Linked DNA regions of Cricetulus griseus. The main gene of each other region encodes a partner of the protein of the gene in region 2 in a complex. Links are inferred from orthologs where the notes say so. Each region holds a gene or a part of one and is shown on either strand. Other genes may lie near its edges.

What was found. Proteins that work in one complex are often made in the same cells at the same time.
Region 1: Eid3 (region 2) and Nsmce1 share a complex: the UniProt entries of both Homo sapiens proteins name them as parts of the SMC5-SMC6 complex. The link is inferred for Cricetulus griseus from reciprocal best matches to the Homo sapiens genes EID3 and NSMCE1.

What each region holds. Positions count from the first base shown.
Region 1 is NC_048596.1:75,351,189-75,354,334, reverse strand, and holds the end of Nsmce1 (non-structural maintenance of chromosomes element 1 homolog), read right to left. Parts: intron 2,448-3,146; coding exon 2,331-2,447; intron 1,384-2,330; coding exon 1,263-1,383; intron 812-1,262; coding exon 732-811; 3' UTR 571-731; downstream 1-570. UniProt on the Homo sapiens protein: RING-type zinc finger-containing E3 ubiquitin ligase that assembles with melanoma antigen protein (MAGE) to catalyze the direct transfer of ubiquitin from E2 ubiquitin-conjugating enzyme to a specific substrate.
Region 2 is NW_023276806.1:152,476,371-152,480,049, forward strand, and holds the start of Eid3 (EP300-interacting inhibitor of differentiation 3), read right to left. Parts: upstream 2,919-3,679; 5' UTR 2,793-2,918; intron 206-2,792; exon of another isoform or gene 135-205; intron 1-134. UniProt on the Homo sapiens protein: Tissue-specific component of the SMC5-SMC6 complex, a complex involved in repair of DNA double-strand breaks by homologous recombination.

The sequences.
Region 1 (3,146 bases), on a different chromosome or scaffold from region 2:
ACCCAACCATCCGAAATCAAAACAGGGTCTCAGCAGGGTGTGGCATGTCCAAAGGGGATGGAGCCAGGGGCAGAGCAGGATGAGGATAAGGGGTGGGTTCTTGTTTGGACAGTAGCTGTTGGGCCAAAGAGCAAGGGCTGGACAGGATTTGAGGACAGTGTGATATAGATGCAAGGGCTGGACAGGATTTGAGGACAGTGTGATATAGATGCAAGGGCTGGGCAGGATTTGAGGAAAACACAAGGTTGATGCCAGGGACAAGAAGGCTAGACTGACTCTCAGGTTACCTTCTGAAATAACTGGTGGGTGGATGGGGGACAAAAGGTCCCATGGGAACAGCACAAATCTAGTCCAGCTCAGCCTTCGGGGGCTACTGACTTGAGGCCACAGTGGTCCTACTATAGCCGTAGACACCAAGGCCAAGGTAATGGAACAAAACCACAGCGAAAACAAAACTGCCCAGAACCAGACACAGAGACACCTGGCCAGGGCTGACAGTGGCTCTGACCCAGTGCTGCCACTGAGTTCACTCACCTCACCATGGGGAACCCAGCCCCACACAAGCTCTAGTTTGCAGAGCACAGCAACCATCAGGAAACATTTACTAAAAATATGTTAACAGCAAATATCAACAAGGGAGGCAGTTCATGTGCCATGTGGATGGCCAGGCCCCTGGTCTAAATGGGCCATGAGGGTCAGCCCACCAACAGCCAGAGCCATGCAGGACACAGCTAATGCTGACGGGTCCGCAAGGACTTTCTGCTCGACTTGGAGATGCCAGCCTCCCTCTCCTTCTCAGGGTCGAAGACTTCTGTGTATAGAACAGCAGGGAGACACAGTGAACATCATGATGAATGGACTGATTCCACAGAACACAGCTGATGTCTATAGCTATCCCCCCATGCAGAGGACCTGTCCTGTCTGTAACCCTCCTCCCCCAGCACGTGAGCCAGGCAGCAAAGTTCAATGAGGGAGCTGAGAAGTGGCTTTCCCATCCCTCTTCCTGGATGGCTAGGAGAAAAGCCTTGTGTGGGACTCTCACAAGCCTTGAGGTTTCTAGTGGATTCTAGGCCCTTTAGACAAAGGCAGGCAGGTAGCTTTTGCCTGTGCTTCATCAGGACACCAACACTGACCTTCATGCTCAGAGTCCTCCTCAGCCTTCCCTCCCAAGGTGCTCTTGATACACAGCCTAAGAACTGAGGTCTCACAGACAGCCCATCACAAGGCCACCCCATCCTATGGGCATTCTGGAGGCCGTGTACCTGGAATGTCGTGGGGCCAGAAATCATTACAGTGAGGACAGCGTGGTTCAGAGGTGGACTGGAAGTACTTGGCCACACAAGGCAAATGCATCCTAATACCACATGTCTCACAGCTTTGACCCTGAAACAAGAAAGGCTGATGACCATGGAGCCAGGACATCCCTCAACTTCACAAACATTCAGAAAGCTGCAAGAAAATGGCTAGCAGGTTGTAGTGTTTGAACTTCCAGACTCCAACTTAATGCTGGTAACAACCCCAAGCTCTACTGTAGGGCCTGCACTACAGGAACAAGTGTACATAGGTGGGAGAAGCTGAAAACCGCACCCCCCACCAAGCTTCTGTAGCTCCAGACTCAGGCTCACTGCTTAGAGATTCCCCAGTGGGAGGTATAGACATAGAGCTTTGCAGTAGGCCAGTGGCAACATGTATCACGTGCTTAGGATCCACACAAGCATGGGGTAAGCCACAGACTCTACCTCCAAGAATCTGACCATAGAAAGATCACAGACATCTGTGGATACTCACACAGAAACTCAGCATAGAGCCTGGTTGCCCAAGATAAAAAGAAGCAAACATGGCACCCAGCCTGCAAAGTTCAAGTAAGAAGCAGAATGGTAGGGACAGAGAGACATTTATCATAGAGCTACCAAGACTTAAGCTACTTGGGTTTTAATTAATTCCAGATATAGTCAAGTTGGCAACCAAGAATAGCCATTACAACCAGTAAACCGAAGTTTTGTGTCTGTGTTGTGATAAAGCTGTTGGAGAGAGAGATGCTCAGTGGTTAGGAACATGTTCAGCTCTTGCAGAGAACCCATGTTTGGTACCCAGCATCCATACTAGATGGCTTTCAACCAACTGTAACTCTAGTTCCAGGGACCCTTTCTACTGAAAAGTTATCACCCAACACCCATCAGCACCTTGGGCTAGGAACTGAATGGCCAGGAGGAGAACTAGGGATGCACCAGCAGGATGTCTGTCCAGAAGGTGCCTGATCCTGGGGGGCAACAACAGTGAGGCCCAGTGGGCTGAGCATCAGGATCCTGCTCCCACTGTATCATCAGTACCTGGATGAGGAGGCCGTGGCAGATGTTGCATATCTTCACAGCATCCGGGTAGGTCTCTCGGATGAACTGCTCCATCTCCAAGATGGCCCGGCCATGCAAGGTGAACTCCCCCTCCTTCTGCGGAGACACAATACACACTGGCTCAGTGCTGACTCCCCTGATCCCACAGCCCAGAGTGCAGGAGGTCAAGATCTGGATGCTCTAGTCACTGCAGGCTACCACCAATCCCAGCCAACCAATGTCAGCAATGTCCCCTTAGCCAAACCTCAAGAAAGAGAAACTAAGATAGAGATCAAAAGGACAGTGGAAGTGAGGATCCTCTCACCTTCAGACCCTCCCTTTGCCTTTACAGATGTGATGACCTCACGATAGACAGTGGAGGTGAGCATCCTCTCACCCTCAGACCTCAGACCTCAGACCTCTTTGCTCTTACAGATGTGATGACAACTCCATCTTCACCGCTGCCCCACAAGTGAGTCACAACAGTGTCTTCAGCGAAGGAAGACTGAGGTCAAGTAAGAGAGGCAGTCTCCCAATGAGCCACCCGAGACAACCCCAGCCAGGTGCCCACTTCTCCTACCCCTTCCCACCGGTGCTCCCACATCACTGCCAGCCCTGTCACTTCACTAATGAAGCAGGAAGGAGCCCCTGTATCAGTGTGAGTGGCAGAGCCTACAAAGGAAGCCAGGCCTCCTGGTCTCCATGTCTGGGTACAGTCCATACTCCAGGAAGGCCAGGAAACACGAGCTATGTTGTTATATAACTACGTAGCAAACACCACCACCAGTCAGGCAGAGGCAAGTCTGCTGGAAGGGC
Region 2 (3,679 bases):
CTTCTTTCATCAGGCAGTTGTGAGGACTTAGAATCCAGCACATAAACCATTGTTACTGTCACTATGGCATATTCATTTGGATGGGAGTACTATCACACCCGTGCAAACAACACAGCCATATAAAGAAAACCTACCTTGATAAGAGAGGCAGAAAATTGTCTCTGGCAGGGTTCCTCCCTTTCCAGAAATAAGGATTTGTGGGGTGCTGTGGAAACACAGAGGTAATGTGTGTCTGCACAGAAAGTGATGTAAAGAAACCAGCAAGGTGGGGAGATCTAGAGAACTATTCCCAGGAGCTTACAGGAGTTTGGGAGAGGAGATGAAAAGAAAACCACGTTGGCCCCAGCCAAGAAGGTATATAACACCACACTGAAAAGTGAGCTCTTTATCCTGGAAGCAGATCTGGCAGCAACAAGCAGCAATCAGGCAGAAGGCCGGCCAGGTTAGGGAGGAAGCCTTCTGAATGTGAGGCCCACCTGAGTGAGATGCTTGAGTGCCCTTCTCTGATGGCTATCAAGAAGAGTTCGGGTTGCTGCTAACTTAGGGAGGCTTGAAACTACAAATGAACACAACTGGGATCCGCCTTCTTGGAGGTGAACCTCACAATGCTTTGTTGCCTGCCTGTCACAGCTTCTATTCCTGCCATCAAGAAATTGAGTCTCACCGGGTGTTGGTGGGGCACGCCTTTAATCCCAGCACTCGGGAGGCAGAGGCAGGTGAGTCTGGTCTACAAGAGCTAGTTCCAGGACAGCCTCCAAAGCTACAGAGAAACCTTGTCTCAAAAAACCAAAAAAAAAAAAAAAAAAAAAAAAAAAAAAGAAATTGAGTCTCATGTGGCCAATTTTAATCTTACCACCCACAACTCTTCTCTCAAACTACTGAAGACTTAACTATGTCTGGTAGTATTCCAATGGATACCTTTTCATTCACTGTGCTCTTTCTTCTCAGTGCTACCAAGAGAGGCATTTACATGGGTAGTTTCAAAACTCTGGAATCAGGAAAGTCAAGATGGCTTGGTGTTGAAAGGTACCAGCTGTTAAGCCTGACAACATGAGTTCAATCCCTGAGGCCCACATGGTGGAAGAAGAGAATGGAATCACACAAGTTGTCCTTTGACCTTCATATGAACATCATGGTAAGTACAAACATGAGCACACACATACACACTCTGATTCTTGCCCTAAAGACAAAATAAGATGCTGCCAGGCTTGGTGGCACACACCTGTAATCCTAGCATTGAAGGAGACAGAGGCAGGAGAAAACATAACTCCAAGGCCAGGTTGATCTGCATAGAAGACTGCCTCAAAAGAGAAACAATACAAAGGGCTAGGAATGTGGTGTAGTTAAGTGGAACAACATTTTCCCAGCAAGTGAAGAGCCCTGGGTTCTACCCCCAGCACTACAAACAGACAACACTAAAGTGTTGCCCTGGGGTTACAGCTCTGTGGTAGAGCATTTACCCACAATGAGTGCTGCCCTGTCCAATCCTGGCACAGCCCTACCCCCAACCCCCCCACCCCAGACACACACAAAGGGAAGGAGGGGAAACATCTGCACAAAGCCTCTTTAAGTAGTCATTTGTGCCAACCGAGCCCTTCCAAAGTTCTCATTGTCTATAATATACTCATTGTGGCAAACAATGGCTCAAATTCTCAATACTGAATCTTACCTGCTCTGTCTCCTCCCACTTTTGGCGCTGCTCATTAAAACCAAAGGAAAATACAAAAAGAACAGCTCTATGTGTATGGTAAATGGTATGTACATATTTCTTTCATTCGTGACTGTGTAACTCACAAAAGCCTGAAACTAACTCCACTGATGTTAAAATCAAGAGCATGAATAAGATTATGTAGAAATCAAATGATTGTAACTTCTTAATATACATCTACAATAGAGGTGGGGTTTCCCCAGGAAGGCCCATTACTAGGTCTTTGTGTTATTTTACTTGAACACTAAAGGTCTGAGTTACACAACTACTTTAACTACAGGTAAAAGCCTTTTATCTCCCTTAATTAGTTTCCATCCATTTGCTGTTTGCCTTTGAAGTCTAGCTCCATTCCCTATATTCACTCTTCAAAAAAGTATGTTTCTTTTAGAAGCAAGCAAAGACTAAATAAAAATGTGAATCAATTGTTAACGTCCTTCTTAACAGCACATACAACTAAATAAATGTTCTTAAACCTAGCAGGCCTTACACCAAGAGGGCAACGCTCCAGCATATGTTACTCTGAAAATCAAAGGGGCTGGCAAGATGGCTCAGTGGGGAAAGGCACTTGCTACCACGCACGGACACCGGGGTTTGATCCCCAAGATCTGACTTCATTTTTGTAATTCTCCAAGTGGATGGACCAAAAGCAGACGTTCAGCATACTTGCCACTGGAGGGTAGACTCCATTCCTTTATAGCCACAACTGTTAACTCTGAGCTAGGAAAAGAAATGCCTGCCGGGAAACAAATTCAACCCAGGGGATTCCCGGGGGCTCCTCGGAGCCTGGGGTTTCCAGGAGGCCCACGCCTCAGAGAATTAAAGAGGAAGGAGACGGGGCGGTCTGATGAGGGAGGCGTAAGCATTTCCTGATGCCCTTTTCTCAAGACTTCCCCAGGCCACTCACCCTGCCGCTGGAGGCTAAAAGAGGGGGAAACCCAAGCAAAGGGCACTCTGAACGGTCACTTTAAAAGAAACGGCTTGGCTTTGCCGTCTCGGTTCAGGGATCTGAGCACGTGGGCCGGCAGCCCGTAGTGGCCCGGGGCTGGGGATCCGGGATCGGGGCTGGGGAGCACGCAGCTCCTACCTTCAGGGCTGGACCATGGCCACCCTCCTCCGGACGCGCCTTCCGCTGCTCGCCGCCTCCTGCGGCCTCTCTCGGCCCGCGTCCTGCGGCCTCTCTGGGCTCGCTCGCGCTCGCACCCGCGCCGCCGCCGCCGCAGGCCCCGCCTGCCCTCTGTAGCACAAAGCAGAGCGGCACTGAGCCTTCCTCCGGGCGGGGCTTCCGGGACGCCACGCGCCCTCTGGGCACTCCCGCCGGTGGACTCCGACCCGCAAGCTGCCGGACCACGAGACTCCAGGTCCGCCAGAACTCAAAAGAAGCACTGAGGGGCAGCTAAAGACACCGACCTCGCGACCACACAACACTAGCTCGTCCCAGCATGGTCTGGCTTTTGACACTGCACCTGGAGGATGCAACAGCCAGGGCTTCCTGGAATCTGAAACCACAGTCCATCCACGCTCTGGATGACATCAGGGGAGGATGGTCCCATTTCACTAAGGGGTAAACTCGGTAAAGTCTGGGACAATTAAAAACGGAGCCCACAGCTATATTGATACCAGCACTTGAAAGAATAGTTATTCAGTACTAATATCAACAGTTAACATGGCATAATGATATAATGCAATGTTTTTATATATAGTATTTAGTCTTAACAGCTGTATTTTAGACGTAGGTATTACCACATCCATTTCACAGGTAGGGAAACTGAGCTACTTCTAGCCAAGCAACTTGCACAAGTTGGAGCAGCCAGTCAATACTGTAAACAGGACTCAAATGCAGACAGGACAGGCTGCACCGCCTCCTTCAGTTAGGGAAGGGCTGTGTAGCAGTCTCAGCTGCCCTGTTAAATAACAGCCTAGGTCGGGAAGGGCAAGCCACTTGAAAAACATGACATGTGCGGCACAATATCA